Linked DNA regions of Macaca mulatta. The protein of the gene in region 1 interacts with the protein of each later gene in a pairwise test. Links are inferred from orthologs where the notes say so. Each region holds a gene or a part of one and is shown on either strand. Other genes may lie near its edges.

The links.
Region 2: the proteins of NMI (region 1) and BRMS1 interact in binary tests that used the Homo sapiens proteins (3 or more experiments, as listed by UniProt). The link is inferred for Macaca mulatta from reciprocal best matches to the Homo sapiens genes NMI and BRMS1.
Region 3: the proteins of NMI (region 1) and MTMR9 interact in binary tests that used the Homo sapiens proteins (3 or more experiments, as listed by UniProt). The two-hybrid records come from large-scale screens. The link is inferred for Macaca mulatta from reciprocal best matches to the Homo sapiens genes NMI and MTMR9.

Annotation. Positions count from the first base shown.
Region 1 is NC_133417.1:56,240,921-56,247,120, forward strand, and holds the start of NMI (N-myc-interactor), read right to left. Parts: upstream 3,349-6,200; 5' UTR 3,342-3,348; coding exon 3,261-3,341; intron 2,439-3,260; coding exon 2,343-2,438; intron 1-2,342. UniProt on the Homo sapiens protein: Acts as a signaling pathway regulator involved in innate immune system response.
Region 2 is NC_133419.1:8,077,926-8,084,174, reverse strand, and holds the start of BRMS1 (breast cancer metastasis-suppressor 1), read right to left. Parts: upstream 4,056-6,249; 5' UTR 3,967-4,055; intron 1,201-3,966; 5' UTR 1,194-1,200; coding exon 1,055-1,193; intron 41-1,054; coding exon 1-40. Other genes in the region: B4GAT1 (beta-1,4-glucuronyltransferase 1), read right to left, coding at 5,041-5,232, 5,482-6,249. UniProt on the Homo sapiens protein: Transcriptional repressor. Down-regulates transcription activation by NF-kappa-B by promoting the deacetylation of RELA at 'Lys-310'. Promotes HDAC1 binding to promoter regions.
Region 3 is NC_133413.1:10,001,442-10,007,580, forward strand, and holds the start of MTMR9 (myotubularin-related protein 9), read right to left. Parts: upstream 4,056-6,139; 5' UTR 3,960-4,055; coding exon 3,778-3,959; intron 1-3,777. UniProt on the Homo sapiens protein: Acts as an adapter for myotubularin-related phosphatases. Increases lipid phosphatase MTMR6 catalytic activity, specifically towards phosphatidylinositol 3,5-bisphosphate and MTMR6 binding affinity for phosphorylated phosphatidylinositols.

The DNA.
Region 1 (6,200 bases):
CGTATTTTGTATTTTCAGTAAAGACAGGGTTTCACCATGTTGGCCAGGATGGTCTCAATCTCTTCACCTCATGATCCACCTGCCTTGGCCTCCCAAAGTTCTGGGATTACAGGCGTGAGCCACCACACCTGGCCTAGAATTAGATGATGTTAAATTTATCAAATTTACAAATTCCACCTTCCCCAACACCTGCCCATCAACTTTTTAACCATTACCACAACTTAGGTTCATAAAAAACGAGAAGGGACAGTATCAACAAAAATTGTAAGCTGAGGCTGGGCAGGTGGCTCACACTCGTAATCCCAGCACTTTGGGAGGCCGAAGCAGGCAGATCACCTGAGGTCAGGAGTTGGAGACCAGCCTGGCCAACATGGTAAAACCCGTCTCTAATAAAATACAAAAGTTAGCTAGGCGTGGTGGCAACCGCCTGTAATCCCGGCTATTCAGGAGGCTGAGGCAGGAGAATCGCTTGAACCAGGGAGGCAGATGTTGTAGTGAACTGAGATCGCACCATTGCACTCCAGCCTGAGCAACAAGAACAAAACTCTGTCTCAAAAACAAACAAACAAACAAACAAACAAACAAAAAAATTGTAACCTGAAAGATAAAGGTAGGTCGTTACACTTAGCCGCTTAGAATTATTGGGATTAACAGATTTGTATAACCACACATAAAAGCACAAATGAGCTAGGTGCTTGCATTTCTATTTCCCATGGTTATTTTACATGCTGAAAATGACAGAGATGAGAAATATTCAGTGAGTCATTCGATTTAATCTTACATTTATTCTTTGCCTGTACACATAACTCCAGTGGAACTTCTGATTACGGTAAGGCTGACATCAAAACAATCTACAATGTCTGAGAAAAGGCAGACTGTTACCCAATAATGCAGAAATACCCAGTATATGCTGAGGAACCAAGGCCTTTCTGAAATTAGAGTGAGAAAGCTTGATTCTATTTCTGACCACACTGTGACAGAGCAAATTCACTTCAGCTCTCTGATCATGGGTTCGGTCCCCTGCAAAGTGGGTGGACTAAGGCTGGCTGGTTTCTAAAGGCTCTCTGGGTTGTAAGACTGCATGATTCTAGCTCCAGTCTGAGAAGTAACCAGAATCTTAACAGAGTCTTCTGCAAAGTCACCCATCTCATAAACACAGAAAACCTCACTTCCTGATATTCAATGTCCTATCTCCCACTTCAGAAACAAAAAGAGTCAATGTTTTAATTTTTTTTTTTTTTTTTTAGGCGGAGTCTCGCTCTGTCACCCAGGCTGGAGCACAGTGGCGCAATCTCAACTCACGGCAACCTCCGCCTCCCAGGTTCAAGCAATTCTCTGCCTCAGCCTCCCAAGTAGCTGGGATACAGGCACCCGCCACCATGCCCGGCTAATTTTTTTTTTTTTTTTTTTGTATTTTTGGTAGAGACGGGGTTTCACCATCTTGGTCAGGCTGGTCTTGAACTCCTGACCCCATGATCCACTCGCCTCAGCCTCCCAAAGTGCTGGGATTATAGACATGAGCCACCACGCCCAGCCTGAATGCTTTAATTTTTTAACAATCTGAGTTGTTAAGAAAAAAAATGGGTGAAAATTATGTATATTTAAAATACAGGAAAATTTAGGAGAGAATTTAAATAGTGAGGATTAATATATGTCCAATTTTTTAAACTGTGAAACTCATTTAAATTAGCAAAGCACCTTGGATGAGAATAATAATAAAAGAACTCAGTGAGAAAAGCCAGAATTTGATCCAACAGTGATTTGCTAATGATCATCTTTTTTTGGTAAATTTTATTAATGTTTGCTTTGGTAAATTTATTAAAGTGTATAAATAATAGAAAAATGCATGTATCATAAGTACAGCAAGATGCAATTTTACAAAGCTAACACATATGTGATTGGCACACAGATGACAGGCAGAACATGACAACACTCCAGAAACTCCCTTGGGTCCCCTTCCGGGTCTTACCTGCTTCCAAAAGTAACCACTGTTTTAACTTCGAACATCCTGCTTTTGCTTAATTTAAAGGGAAGCATATGGTACGCCCTCATCTGTCTTTTTTGTGTTAACATTGTGTTTATGAAACTCATTTGTGTTGCTGCATGTCGTTATGATCTGTTCATTCTCATTGCTGTGTAGTTTTCTATCATATGACTATACCCCACTTCACTAACTCATCTATTATGAAGGAATCATTGGGTTGTTTTCCATTTTGAACTATTACAAATGGTGGTGCCATGGATGATAAGGTTTTAAAAATGAATTTTATATAATTAAAATGCTTTTTCCAAAAACCATGCGTCCATCAAAAATGTAGTGTATAAAATAATTAAGAGAGTACCTGGAATTCTCTGGTAGCCTCTTGTAACTCCGTTTCGAGCTTTTGGATCTCCTTCTTTAGTTGAATATTTTCCTTTGTCATTTCATCAATTAGTTCCTTAAAAATATCAAACGGTACCAAAGAAAGTAAATAGCCCCAAACTCATTTTTCTGAATGAACTAAAGACTATAAATTTCTCTCATCCTGAGCAAAGAAAGACATTAGACAGTCTCAGAATAAATATGACTATGTGCATAATGCATTTGTTGAATATTTTACATCATCACCTGTCCATTCTAACATTGCCAACTAGTACTATCTCCATCATATAAATCAGGAAACCACCTTTTACACTAGGCCAAAGTCACAGAAATTTGTATAGTAAGGCAAAGATTGAGATCAGATCTTCTGAATATTACTTCAGTGCTGCATCAACTCCTTTCTTAGCTATTTGTGACCATGATAAGACTTTTAAATTGCACTGTAATAGCGGACATATTCTGGGGCAGTTTGTTGTTGTTGGTGGTGGTGGTGGTGTTTTTAATTATCTGTGATTCCCATAGTATCCCATAGTACACAGCTGCCTTAACAAGCCAGACATATGACCTTGGGGAAGTAGTTTAATCTACCTGGCCTCTGTTCCCTCTTGGGGTCTAATGAGATACTTGCTAACTGTGCTCTTAACTTGTTGATGCAAATCCAAGAAATGAGGGTGTGAGTGAGAAAGCAGCTAGTGTTGTAAGCCTTATATGAGAAAGAATAAAAATACGACACTTCTTGTAAGACTTAAATAACATAATGGAAGTTAAAAAATTTTTTAAAGCCTAACAGCCTCCCAAATTCAAGGTAATGTTGGACAAAGACATACAAAACATGCCTTACTGCAAAACTAATAGATATAAATTAATTTTTAATAATACCCAGTAATTTCCTTTTTACCTTATTTTGTTCATCTTTTATAAATTCATGTGGCCCATGCTCCTTAAGAACTTGTTGTGTGTTGTCTTTATCAGCTTCCATGATTCCCTAACATTATAAAAAATAAATATTGTAAGCATAGCATATATACACAAATTTCAGAACAAAGAAATAACAACTTTTACCCTTTTATGGAAGAAACATCTCTCTTCTTTGCTATATCTTTTTTCCTATCATCAAAGGCTTTATTCTCATATGGCTTATATCCAAACAAAGTCTGTATTTCAATAACTCCTTTTTTTTTTTTTTTTTTTTTTTGAGACAGAGTCTCACTCTGTCGCTCAGGCTGGAAGGCAATAGTCTGATCTCGGCTCACTGCAATCTCTGCCTCCCAGGTTCAAGAGATTCTCCTGCCTCAGCCTCCCAAGTAGCTGGGATTACAGCTACCTGCCACCATGCCCAGCTAATTTTTGTATTTTTAGTAGAGATGGGGTTTCACCATGTTTGTCAGGCTGGTCTTGAACTCTTGTCTTCAAGTGATGCGCCCCCCTCAGCCTCCCAAAGTGTTGGGATTACAGGTGTGAGTCACCACCACGCCTGGCCACTATTTCAAATAACTTTCACATCTATAATATGTAAAAAGATTCTAAAAATCCTTTGCTTTTCAACAAAATAATATACAGAAACTAATGAACATTAATGTTCCTTTGTAGTTCATATTCCAATCATAATATCATGCTCCATTTTAAAAGAATACTATTTTGGTTTTCCAACATTTTTCAAAGGTTTTGATTAAAATATTTAATTCTCCCTATTGTTCTCCCCAAATATAAACAAAGTCAAAGTCAAGAGGCCTCCAACATATGCTTTCTCTACACAGGTGTTCTTACCTGGAGCTTTCACTAACTCTCCCGCTGGGTCCATAAACATGGATTGGGAAGAAATTACATGTTTATTTCTAATAACCTCTAATTGAAGCTTAGCATTCTCTTCAATTATGAATATTGTAACAAACTATAGTAGTATTCACAGCACCTGTGATAGTCACCAGTAGAAAGCACAGTTTCATAGAATATTGTTGCAGATATGCTAAAATAGTTTGTGTCTAACGTTGCTTCTACATTAGTTACTAAGCTCAACACTAGGTCTTGTAATACATTGTAATACATTGATATATATCACTATATCAAACATTTGCTTTTAAAATAGTCTGATAACCATATTTTAATACAATTGATTTCTGGCCAGGCGCAGTGGTTCACGGCTGTAATCCCAGCACTTTGGGATGCCAAAGCAGGTGGATCATGAGGTCAAGAGTTTGAGACCAGCCTGACCAACATGGTGAAACCCCATCTCTACTAAAAATACAAAAAAGAATTAACTGGGCGTGGTGGCAGGTGCCCATAATCCCAGCCATATTTCAATACAATTGATTTCCTTTGTAATTCTAAGTATTTTATTTTATGCATTTAATGTTTTGTTTTTTTTTTTTTTTAGATAGGGTCTCACTTTGTTGCCCAGGCTGGAGTGCAGTAGGGCACGAACACGCTCACTGCAGCCTCAACATCCCAAGCTCAAGTGATCCTCCCACCTCAGTCCCCCAAGTAGTTGGGACTACAGGTGTGCGCCACCATGCCCAGCTAATTTTTGTATTTTTTGTAGAGATGGGTTTTCACCAAGTTGCCTAGACTGGTCTCGAACTTCTGGGCTCAAACAATCCGCCCCCCTTGGACTCCCAAAATGCTGGGATAGGCCACCATGCCTGCCCCCACCAAATTTTTTTTTTTTTTTTTTTTTTTTTTTTTGGAGAAAGGCCCATAGGATTTGCCAAGCTGGCAAAGGAATCCATGGTACAAAAAATTTAAGAACTCTTGCCTACATATGAAATTACTGAGATGAAAAACTCCCAGATCAAAAATGGGACAAAGGATATCATGATTCTATGTTTTTAGATACACATTAATAAACAGTCTGCAATATAATTTTCCAAGATTTCAAGTGGCTAAATTCTCAATATTCTTGAAAGAGAAATAAAAGACATCTATTCCTCCTTAAAAATAAAATAGAAGACTAGCAAATACTTAGCCATGTCTCAGTTTAGTTAGAAGAGTGTCAAAAAAAAAAAAAAAAAAAAAAAGAGGAGAGTCGCATAACACCCAGATCTTGGTTTCTAATAATATTCTTCAATATAAGAAACCAGGGCTCATTGGAGCAATGGCTGATTCTGGGTCTGGGGCATAAAATATACAAAATAAGCCTGGAATATCTTGTAGAGCTAGAAAAGTAAAAAGCACTAAAACACATGCACAGACACATACAATATGATGGGAGTATGTGAAAGGGACATGGGGAGCCAACTGAAAGACGTCCAGTGGCCAAAGGTACATACAGATAATAGGAGCCAAGTTTTTCACCATTGAGAAGATAATTATAAATATGGAAAGGGAGAAAACGAGAATAAATACTGTTGATTGGAACTAGATTTCAATGTAATCCTATGGCTGTGGTTTCTGATTGATGAGATAGATAGATAGATAGATAGATAGATAGATAGATAGATAGATAGAATGAAATAAATGCCTGTGTGTGATTACCTGGGTGTGGTGGCACATGCCTGTAATCCTAGCTACTTGGGAGGCTGAGGCAGGAGAATCACTTGAACCCTGGAGCTGGAGGTTGTAGTGAGCTGAGATAGAGCCACGGCACTCCAGCCTGGGCAACAGAGTGAGTCTCCGTCTCAGGAAAAAAAAAAAAAAAGAAATGCCTATCTGTGTATTTTGGATATATACAAATATGTATATACCCTAGTTCTGTCTGTTGAGAAGGCCTGGGAGAGTAGATACAACCCCAATGAGCAATGAGCACACTCAGCACCCAGACTTTGGTTTCTAATATTATTCTCCACTAAAAGGAACCAGGACTCTTTAGAGAAATGGTTGATCCCAAAACCAGGACGGAAAA
Region 2 (6,249 bases), on another chromosome or scaffold:
CACTCGCTGCGGCGCCGCTCATAGTCCTCATCGTCCATCTCTGGGACAAGACGCCAGTAAGGGCTAGCTCTGGGGAGGGGTGGTGGGTACCCACATATGTGCATGTGCGTCCTTCATGTGTGTGTGTGTGCATGCGTCCTTGTGTGAAGGGGCTGTGTGTTTGTATGCATGCTTGTGTGTAGGGGCTGTGTGTGTGTGTGTGTGTGCTTGTGTGTAGGGGCTGTGTGTGCGCACGTGCTTGTGTGTAGGGGCTGTGTGTGTGCATGCGTGCTCGTGTGTAGGGGCTGTGTGTGCATGTGTGCTCGTGTGTAGGGGCTGTGTGTGCATGTGTGCTCGTGTGTAGGGGCTGTGTGTGCATGTGTGCTCGTGTGTAGGGGCTGTGTGTGCATGTGTGCTCGTGTGTAGGGGCTGTGTGTGCATGTGTGCTCGTGTGTAGGGGCTGTGTGTGTGTATGCGTGCTTGTGTGTAGGGGCTGTGTGTGTGTGCACGTGTGCTCGTGTGTAGGGGCTGTGTGTGTGCATGTGTGCTCGTGTGTAGGGGCTATGTGTGTGTGTGTGCATGCTCGTGTGAAGGGGCTGTGTGCGTGTGTGCTCGTGTGTAGAGGCTGTGTGTGTGTGTGGGTGCTCGTGTGTAGAGGCTGTGTGTGTGCGCATGCGTGCTTGTGTGAAGGGGCTGTGTGTGTGTGCGTGCTTGTGTGTAGAGGCTCTGTGTGTGTGCGTGCTTGTGTGTAGAGGCTCTGTATGTGTGCATGCTTGTGTGTAGAAGCTGTGTGTGTGCGTGCGTGCTTGTGTGTAGGGGCTGTGTGTGCATGTGCATGTGCTTGTGTGTAGGGGCTGTGTGTGCGTGTGCATGTGCTTGTGTGCAGGGGCTGTGTGTAGGTGCTTGTGTGAAGGGGCTGTGTGTGCATGTGCATGCTTGTGTGTAGAAGCTGTGTGTGTGTGCTTGTGGCAGAGGCTGTGTGTGAGTATGCTTGTGTCTAGGGGCTGTATGTGCATGTATGTGCATGCTTGTGCGTGGGGGCTGTGTGTGTGTGTGTGTTTGTGTAGGGGCTCACCGGAGCTCTCCTCTTCTGACTCTGTCTGGCTGCCGCTCCGCTCCTCCTCACTCTCTTCCTCCTCCCCATTCATCTCAGTGGCGGAATCACCCTCTGCTTCCATCTCTTCTGTGTCTTTGCTTGGAGGCTGGATGGGCATCCGGACTCTGGGAGAAGGAATGGAGCTGTCACTTATGGCTGCCCACAGCTCAGAGGGGGAAAGAGGCAGCAGGAAGCTGAACCCAACCTGATCCCAGATGGGGAAAGCCAGGGAAGTGACTGGCCTGGCCACACCTTGAGCACATACTGGGTGACAAGGGTGCAAATGGCCGTCTGCACCTCTCACAGAAGCCTGGGAGCTGTGGAAATGCTCCTGCTCTTGGATGTCACTGGTGATCCTAATCCTGGGAATACTGGCCAAGGCTGTGATCCACATAAAGGAAAGGCCCAGGGGGCACTCTCCACTGCCTATGGACTGGACCTAAATTTCTTTTTGAGATGGAGTCTCGCTCTGTTGACAGGCTGGAGTGCAGTGGCACGATCTCGGCTCATTGCAACCTCTGCCTCCCGGGTTGAAGCAATTCTCTTGCCTCAGCCTCCCGAGTAGCTGGGACTACAGGCACCCGCCACCACACCCGAACTGGACTTAAATTCCTAACTGGGGCTTTCAAGGTCTTTACCAGACTGGACTTGACCTACCGGTCCAGCAACTTCATCCCACCATATAATGGCTAGTGCCTGCACTTCCACCTTCTGCCCTCTGCCTCAGCTGTTCCTTCTGCCTATAATGCCCTCGGCTTCTCTTCCAGATAACGCTACAATCTCCTTGTCTTTCACTGTGCTCTGGGTCAAATCCCATCTCCTTCTGCCTCCTCTTGGACCGCGGGTCGTCAGTGTTCCCCTCTCTTTTCTGTGTCTTCAGCTTCTCCCTCTTAGCAACCTCCTTCCCATGAAACTTTAGATGTGCCTGGGTATTTTCTAGCATTAACAAAACACAGAAACACAAAACTTCACCCATTCCACCTGACTGCTCCGTTTGCCACTTCACAGTTACGCTTTTCAAGGTCTCATGAACACTGGCTGTTCCTACTTTGACCTCCCAGTCGTTCAATGTCATCAATCTCAGCTGAAACTGATCCCGTAGCATTAACCAGTGACTTCCTTGTGGCTAATGCCAATATTTTTCAGTGCTTATTTTAATTGTCTGCTCGGCAACATTGAACACTGGTAAGCATTCCTTCTTTTACTGACTCATCTAACATGTATTGAACATCTAACATATACTGGGTACTGTCAGACGCTATGGTATGCAGGGGCCCCAAGTGTGACTGTCTTTGACCTCACCGAGTTTACAAGTTCCTGGGAGAGAGGGGCAAAGGAGCACACTATAACCATGATATGAGGAGAGTTAAGACCAGGGGCATGAGGGAGGAGTATATAACCAGGACCTGGAGCCCGATGCAGCAGGGAGGCTTCCAAAGATGGACCAGCTGGGTGAGCTGCACTTACTGAGGGAATATTCCAGGTAGAGTTAGTAGCAAAGACCCAGAAATAAGAGAAGGAAAGCAGCTGGGGGCACATGGGTCTAAGTCTCAGTGAGAAATCTGAGCTGCAGAGATTTGGTCGTCAGCATACAGCAAGTTCTTCATGCCACAGGAGACGGTGCGACTAGCAAGGGAGAATGTGTGCAATCAGAAGACGCCCATAATGGAACTCCCAGGGTTACCAAAGGGGCAGATGAGGAGACCCCTACAAAGGAGGAGGCAAAACCCGAAGTCGTGGAGAAAGAGAATTTCAGAAGAAAGCCAAGTACTGCCAAGTAGTAATTGTACTGATAGTGCCAAGTACTGCCAAGAGATCACCTAAGAGGATGAAAACAGTCCTCTCAGCAGATAATCTCTCAGCCCCCTGCAGGCTTCTATTTTATTGTGTTCTTTCAACTTCTCTGGACACTGCTTGTAGTCCTTTAGTACACTGCAGACGCCACTCCCTCCAGGAAGCTTTGTATCTATTTGCCTATTCTCATGTCTGTTCCCCCAATCAGTCTATGAGCCTCACTAGGGCAGGGGCTGCACACGTACCTTATTTACCTAGCACAGTACTGGTTCACTTGATGACTGGAGGATTTGCAAATACAAATTTAACAACAACAAAAAAATTTTGTGAGGCAGACATTAGCTTTTACTTTTCGGTAGTCCCAGGTCCCTGTGATGGTAGCAAACTTTCCTTGACACCAGTTCAAGTTGTGTATAATAAGCCTGGCCTAGGTGAGCGTTTAGTCATATTCCTCAACAATTTCACTAATGATCTGCACCTGACTTGAAAAGCTCGGTTCTCTAAACCAGCTTCATCTTTCCCGTTATCAAGCCTCAGTTCCCAACACTTGCAATGCCTCTTCACTGTTAGTATATTCACTTTGTAAGACGCAGCTTAAATCTATCTCTTCCAGAAACCTTTCTCTCCTCCAGCTGGTTCTGATTATAAGTGAGTTAAGTCACAATCTTCCCATCTTACCCCGGGTGCAAAAAGCGGATAACCATTCCTGCTCTGAGTGTTGAGGAGCTCGCAGGTGGTAAGGGATGGAAAAGGACATTGTAAAGCGCGGTGGTATAAGGGATGGAAAAGCACATTGTAAAGCGCTGTACACAGGCAATTTAGCTTTTCAGAATGGCAGCTCCTCCGGGGCACGCCCCTAGGGAAGGCAGGCCCTCCTCATTCTCGCAGAGGTCAACCCAGCTTCTCCGCGGTGCCCAGGGGGCCTCCCGCTCGCTTCTAGATGTGCGGGAGCGGGCCGGAACATCGCTGGCTAGCCCGCAGCCCAGCACGCATCAGGCCAGTTAAATCTCTGCTTCGGCCTGGGAGGAGGAGATTGTGCCGGCCCTGCTCGACTAACGGGAGAGGCCGAACCAAAAGCCATGCATGGCGATACGCACCGCGGGGACTGGGGCCTCTGGCCTCAAGACCGATATTCCCTGAGAGGTGCCCGTGGTTGCCGGTACCGGCAGCAGCGCCGGTCTCCCGCAGGCGCTGCGCGGCTCCCTTTTCTCCGGGAGGCAGAGCCTATCGGTGCTTCCGTGTGCGTCATCAGGAGGCGACCGTCGGGGGTGCTCACAATTGGACAGTTTGGTCCCGAGGCATGCTGGGATACCGCGGGCCGGTCTCCATAGTAACTGGCCGACATTCGCGCAGGCCTTTGGCCTGCAGAAAAGGGCCTGCTGTTTCAGTGCTTTGCAGACGGCGCCCTTCGTCCGCTGCCACCTCCCCATGGCGTGCAAGGGGAGAAGCCGGCCCCGAACCCCACCCCCAGCTCAGGAGAGTAACGGAGCCAGCTGTGGGTGTGAACACGCATTTATTTACACATTGTCATCGGTAGGCACATACCCAGCCCAGCCTGTTGAAGGGACAGATCTCAGGCTGTCACCCATGGAGCCTGCAGAGTCTTCCCTCCTCTAGAGCCCTTGAGGGCGAAGGCCTGAGAGAACCAAGAATTTTAGGCTTCTGTTCAAGAGCTAAGAACTAAAGTTTATGCCTTCATCTGATTTCTTTCCAAAAAGTCCATTTCATTAAGTACTCAGACTTCTTAGCTCCATCCCATTCATACTTTTTGCTCTCCTACTACCCACCCAAGATTGTTAATAATAACAATAATAATAACAATAATAATACTGCGATAATATTAATACTTCACATTTGTACGAAGCTTACAGAATGTTTTCACATACAACATCTCATCTGAGCCTCCCGACAGTTCCGTGAGGTAGGTATTCTCACCTCCCTTTTTACAGACAGGGTAACCGAGGCTCAGAGAGGTAACGGGATTTACTCAAGGCCACACAGCTAGTTAGTGGTAAAGCTAGGACTCGATCCCAGCACCCCATATTCAAGTCCAGTGTTTCAACACCACAGCTACCTCTGTAAAGTGGAGCGACATTTTTTACCCCAGTCAGGCCTAAACGGTGGCCTGAGGAGCCCAGAGGCTGACTTCTCAGACTAGGGTAGGGAAGGGCTCAGCAGCGTCGGGGAGAGTTGGGGTACTTGGCCTTCAACTCCTGTTTGAACTGGCGATAAAGGATCTTATTGTGCTGATTTTCGGCCTCCTTTTGGGGATGGAACTTCAACGCTTCTTTGAAGCCCTTATGAACCAAGAAACCTTCGTTCAGGACCTCAAAATCAAACCCCGCCACATGCAGCTCGCAGGCCTGTAGGAGGAAAGACAGGTCAGCAAAGTTTGATGACATTGACAGGGCTGAGACTGACTTCTCTAAAGCCACAGTCCAGCGCTCTCACCCCTCTGGAAGTATCCTGAATCTTCCACACCATCCACCCACCTCCCGAACGGTGATCCCTCCTGCTTCATTGCCTCCTCTCCATCCAGGGCCACTCCTCATAACTCCCTGATCCCACCACCCCTCCTGCCCCATTACCCCTGCCCTCTCCCTTATGAGCACCTGGCTGATTCTGTTGAAGCCGTACTGCCGAAAGCGCTCGTCGAAGGTGGGCACCTTGCCTCCTGCCACGTAGAATGGCTCCCAGGGGTCCTGCCAAGGTACCACGTAGGCAGGCCGCAGCAAGCTCTCTTCCGGCAGGTTGACCCAGCGGGAATAGTTGGTGGGTGCCTGGCAGGGTGTGCACAACCCATAATAGAAGGGTCGCACCTCGCCAACCTGGTAGAGCTGCACCAGCTCGTTTTTGTTCATGGGCATACGGCGGGCTCGTCGGATCTCGAAGGCAGGCACCACCAGCGCGGTGCCGCCCCACTGGTTGCTCTGATCCAGCATTTCCCGCAGGCCTCTCCACAGCCCCTCGCTGGGCACCATGTCCACATCGATCACCAGGGCATAGTTGGCCCCCTCACGAGCCAGATTCCTCAGCAGATTATTGGGGTAGGAGACATTGGTGCCCAACGCATAATTAATCCCGGGCTGGGCCACCCTGGCTAGCTTGTCAAAGACCTCCTGGCAGGACCGCAGCAGGGCAAACTCCCCCGGCTCCCGGGGGTCGGGCACGGCTGCCTCGTAACGAGAGGGGCACACGAGGTGCATGGCGACCCTGGCGCGCATGTCGGGGCAGTGGCTGCTCAGCGCGTAGGCCAGCACCGTGGCCAGCTGCGCCTCCTCCTTGGTGGCCGCGAACACCGACACGGACAGTGGGCCCTCCCAGCGCTCCAGCAGACCCGACAGGTGCAGCAGGTTGTCCACGCTGGCGTGCGTGGCCAG
Region 3 (6,139 bases), on another chromosome or scaffold:
ATAAACAACAGAGGAAACCTTTTAAGGAATCAATCATGAAAACGATGAGTCATCAACCGAGTAGGAGTAACTCAATTTTCTGAGGTCCATTAAAAAAAAAAAAAACAAAAAAAAAAAACAGGTATAACTGTAAAACTTGTATACAACCTTGTATGTTGAAAGGATCAAACAAAATGATGTAAGCAGTGTATATGAAAGTTTTCCATAGACTTGTAAAGCATTATTCAAACATAAATTTCTAGGAGGTTAAGTAGTTTGCCCAAAGGCACTTGTCTAGTAAAGAGGCAGAACTGAAGGAGTCATCCTTAATGACTTTCTCTCTCACCTTATTTACAATTCACTAGCAAGGCAAGGCAGCTCCACTTTCAAAAACACATCCCAAATCAGATTCCTTGTGACTACACTACTGTTTTTTTTATTTTTATTTTTATTTTTTTTTCTGAGACGGGGTCTCACCCTGTCACCCAGGTTGGAGTTCAGTGGCACAATCTCGGTTCACTGCAACCTCAGCCTCCCAGGCTCAAGTGATTCTCCTGCCTCAGCCTCCTGAGTAGCTGGGATCACAGGCGTGCACCACCACACCCAGTTATTTTATGTATTTTGAGTAGAGATGAGGTTTCACCATACTGGTCAGGCTGGTCTTGAACTCCTGACCTCAGGGTGATCTGTCTGCCTCAGCCTCCCAAAATACTGGGATTACAGGCATGAGCCACCGCACCCAGCCTACCACCATCTTTTATGCGAACTACTCTACTCTCCTAGCTGGGCCTGCTGCTTCCAGTCTTGCCCCTGTACAGTTCACTTTCTGCCAGCAGCCATAATTGTCTTCTGAAACGTCTATCAGCCACTGCTTCCTAGCTTTTGCCTCTCCCAGGTCTCCCATGAAAACCACTGTGGCCTGCAGGCCCTCCACGGTCTGGCGACACTTATCCCTCCAGCCACCATCTCTACCATCGACTTCCTGCACCCTCTGTTCCTGCCCTGCAGCCACACTGGCCTCTTTGCTCTTCCCTGCACATGCCAAGCATGTTCCCCATCTCAAGTCTTTGCACTCACTGTTCCCTCCGGCTAGAATGCTCTTCCGCCAGATACTCACATTTCTAGCTTCCTCGTTTCATTCCAGTCTCTAGTCAGATGTCACCTGCCTTCTCTGAAATCCTTTCTAAAGAAAATGCCTCCCGGTGTTCTTTATCCTCTCATCTTCCGTTATTTTCCTTCCTGGCACTTATTACCTGACATCATTATACGTATTTATTCCTGGACTTGCTTGATTGTCCATCTCCCCGGCCAGTACCTAAGCAGCTTGTCTTAGTCACCACCGCAGCCGCACAGCTAGACAGCACACATGGAAAACGGGTGGATGTGAAGATTTCTTGAAAGCAGCAATTGAACAAACTCTGATGTGATGCCTCCCCTATGCTCTTTCCACTACACCACACTGCTTCCCAGGAGAAAGATAAATGTGTGCACAGTTCATCATTCTCTCCCAACAGATTCAAAGGTCCATGGCTCATCTGCTTCTTCTTCATGCACTACAAAGCCCAGCACCTTGTAAACGCAAGGTAAACAGGAGGAAAGGAATGAGCGAAAAGTAAACACAATAAAAGGTAAATAAGAAAGGAAAGGCAGTTGATGGTCACGGAGAGACTACTCATTTGTATTCAATGGCGTCACTGAACCATTCAGCGGTCAATCCTTCTTTTATTTCCTATGTGTCTATATGCCCAAGCCACAGTTAGAAGTTTCGAAGGAGATAAAAATGAATTCCAGTTGTGGAATTAACAGAAGAATCTGTGAAGGAGGTAGCGGTCGAAATGGTTAAACTGAATACTCATAGACGGGTAACAGGCTCATTGCCATGTGAACTCCTGAAAGACAAGAACTGTGATATATTTTATTCATCTTGGTGTCTTAAGTGCCTCACAAAATGTCCAGAACATAAAGGCATTTGGCAAATGTTTAACAAACTTGGGAGAGGCAAGGCATTCCAGCAGAAGGAAGAAGTCAATAAAATACACAGATGACGGAATACAGGACATATACCAGCACCAGTAAATGGTGAGGACTGGCTGGTAAAAAGGTTCATGAAAGGAAGTGCAAGAAGGGCTCATTGAAAGAAATGGCAAGAAATAAAGTGAGAAAGTAGGCTAGGGCTGGGACACAGAATGCCATGAATGACTGTGAGGGGTTTAGATTTTCAATGAGAGACCACTGAAGACTTTTTTTTTTTTTTGAGATGGAGTTTTGCTCTTGTTGCAAAGGAAGGAGTGCAGTGGCGCGATCTCGGCTCACTGCAACCTCTGTCTCAAGGTTCAAGCGATTCTTCCACCGCAGCCTCCTGAGTAGCTGAGTAGCTGGGATTACAGGCGCCTGCCACCACGCCCGGTTAATTTTTTGTATTTTTAGCAGAGATGGGGTTTCATCATGTTGGTCAGGCTGGTCTCAAACTCCTGACCTCAGGTGATCCGCCCGCCTCGGCCTCCCAAAGTGCTGGGATTACAGGCGTGAGCCACTGCGCCGGGCCCACTGAAGACTTTATACAGCAAAAGGTGACTTGAGGAGACTAATAAGAGCCCCCTGCTCAAATCAATCAATCTACCGCTGCGTCACCCAAACTTCCTGCAATTCTACCATTAGAAATTATTATTTTAGGCCGGGCACGGTGGCTCACGCCTGCAATCCCAGAACTGTGGGAGGGCAAGGCAGGAGGATTGCGAGGTCAGGAGTTCGAGACCAGCCTGGCCAATATGGTGAAACCCCATCTCTACTAAAAAATACAAAAATTAGCCGGGTGTACCGGCGGACACCTGTAATCCCAGCTACTCGGGATTTGCCACTGCACTCCAGCATGGACAACATAGTGAGATTGGCCACTGTACTCCAGCCTGGGCAACATAGTGAGATTCCGTCTCAAAAAAAAAAAAAGAAATTATTATTTTAAGGCATATCCTCTCTAGGAATCTTCCTAAAATCCAAATTATCCTGTGAGGCAATAGAAAACGTTGTCGTCATTCATTTCTATTTCCGTGTAAACTGGATAATCAGTTTGCCCTCTCCTGGCTAGAGAGAAGCCACTAAGGAGATGGAAATTTTGACTGCAGATTAAAGTATAACTTTTTGACTTCGAGGCACTGCCTTGGAAAGATAGTCTGGAGTACAAAAATGAAAAAGAGGTTAATTGGTCCATGCCTTTCCTTGAGAGCCAACCCTGTTCTTTCAGCAAGCAGAACTGAGTAAAGATGAAGAGAAGACAACAGAACCTCCCTTAGTGAGAATGAAATTGATGACCCAGAAGGTAAGAAACATAATAAACTGAACATATTTCAGAAATTAAAAAATGGTTCTGAGGCATGTAGGCACTCATAACTTTATAATCAGTTGAATTTTCCTCAAAAATGGTAAACACTTGCCTAAGTCACATCCAATCACAACTTCATGAACTGTGATTGACAATACCGATTCAAGGAATACGATGGGGCAAGAAGAAGAAATTTATAAAGACAATGCCGAAAATCCACCCAAATGGTGTTACGAACCAGATCATCAGGATGATACCAGCCACAAGATAACCCTGAGAACTCCATCCAGGTTTAATGGAAACCGGATCCTCCATCTGGACGGGTTTCTGCCAGGTAAATCCTGATTCTAGGCCACAGAGGGCTCATCCTGCCGGCCAGCTGGGCGGCAGGATGCGCGGAAAACGCCAGGAAGTGTTTCCCGGGGCGCCCACAGGGGATCCCCGGCTCCCTGCGGAGCTGGGGTGGGGCAGGCACTCACCGCTTGTCGATGGCGTCGATGTTTGAATGAAGGAGCCACAGCTCCTCCGTGTTGTCCTGCCGGGAGGACAGGATCAAGTGGTGGCCCGTCAGGCACAGGGTGCCCTCGACAGCCGGGTAGAAAGGCCGGTGCAGCACCACATTGTCCACCCGCGGGGTCTTAATCAGCTCCGCAAACTCCATGCTCCCCCCGCGGCCGGAGCCAGGGAACCGAGCCCGGCAGGTGCGAGGCGGTTATCCCGCCGCAGGGAGAGGAGCGGAAACACCCGGCGCGGGGCTGGCCCTTGGGGCGGGGCGGGCCGGGCGGTGAGGCTGGGCCCGCCCCAGGCTGGGCGGGCGCGGCGAGGCCTGCAGCCGCCGGCACCAGCGGCAAGGAGACAGGCGCTGGGGCTGGGCTAGGCCCGGGCGCCTCTCCCGCACCGCCCCGTCTCCCAGGCCCAGGACTCGGCCACAGAGAACGCCTCTCCACAGGCCCAGGGACCGCCGCTGCCGCCGGGCTTCGGGTCCCGCTTGGGCACGCGGCGGGCAGTAGGACGAAGCCGCTTCAGGACCCACTTCCACGCCCTGGCCGCTAGGGACTCCTGGCGGAAGTGGCTGCTCGCAGCTGGAGCCCACAGCAACTCCGGGCGGAAGCAGCAGGTCTCCAAACTCGGAAGACGCGGAAGTCGCAGCCGGAAGTCGGTCCTCTCTAGGTCCTCTGGAAATGCCTCCGGAAACACAGCCAGACCAGAAGATTTGGGTTCCTACGAGAAAAAAAAAAAACTTGTCTTTACCTTCACGCCCTCCCGCTGCCCTTCTCACCCATCTACAAATATTCCTTATCAGAAGAGGCCCGTTAAGAGGGGACGATGGGAGGAGGTCCCTGTCTTGTCTCCCTCCGCTTGAGTAGTACCCCCTCCAGAAGCTCTTCAGAGCGTGGGGCTGCTGTAAATTATGACAATTGTTATGCATTAGCCCTGAAGAGATGGCAAGTATGGGATGAGGCGGGGACTGTGACCTTAGGGAATCCTCCAGGGGTCAGGGAGGGACACAGGGCCACGCCACTGACTCCCCGTGAGGGCCGCGCCACGAAGTGTGACCTGGAGCAAGACAGGAATACCTGTGAGAGGAACCCAAATAGATGTAGATGCGATGCACAGAAGAGTAAGTCACTTGAGTTGATGGCGGCCACCCAGTCAATCTGCAGCAGAGCATGGACTTCGATCTGCACCTGTGAAACCCAGCGCATGGGTGCAGTGGTCACCACTGCACAGCCTCAGCGTCAGACACCCACGTTGCGCCAAAAATGTATTCAAATAATTACTCCTTTGCGTGTCCCTTTCCCACCGCCCACTTGAAACTGACATTTTTATTCAAAAATAGGAAATAGAAGAGAAATATGTTTGAGTGCTGGTCTGCTGTGACTTCATTGACCTTTTAAATCCTCACCATCTAGTACCGAAGCACAGGACACAATCTCACAGTATTCACGAAGTAAATTGCCACAACCTCATCAGCTCATCCAACACTTGTCCATGCTTTTGATTTTGCCCTTCTTAACATGTTCCCTTCTTAAAATAAAACACTTTTTAGAACTGTCGTAAGTGAGATAGGTAAATGCCTACCAACTTTCCTTGGTGTCTTTGTGGCATAGTTACTGTAGACTGGATAATAGTTGCCATTTTTTATATTTTTGCAGTTTAATTGCTTTCGTCCAAATAGATGGAATCACTTCTTTTGTAATATATGAGGTGTTTTAATTCATTTTTATAACTAGCATTCCTGACAGCATAGGTATCCACACCCTGAAGTTCCCATTCTGTCGCACAAAATAGCAAATAAGTATTTTTTTGTTCCATAATGGTCACACACAGCCTTTGGATACTGAGATCATGGATACGTAGAATCAGCTTTCTTTTACAACAGAGCTTCACTTTACCCCTCTGGCAATTAATCAATTCTGGGTATTTATTAAGAACTTTAAATTTAATGCAAAGATTGTTAAATATCACCAGCTCAGCTCTGGCAAAGGACTGTTGGCTTTGTTTATCTCCATCTTCATCTAGATATACTGCCATCCCAATCCCAGCCCAGTCTTGGGCCCTTGAAAAAAATGACCTATCATTCCAACTACCAGGGAGGAACTCCCTTTGAATTAATGAATCTGGACGACTTATAAGACTTCAAAAATATGGAAATGACAAAAGTTAAAATGACAAGATGAGCAGTAAACCCTCTCCAGTCCTATCAGAGCAACCTTTTTGAGGTTGCATTCCCACAGAAAATCACTGGCGGCCCAATATCAACATGCACAGAGCTAAAATTCCAGATGCCACTTTGTATTGAAAGATGCCAAAATTCTGTTCAGGCCCTGGGAACCTTGA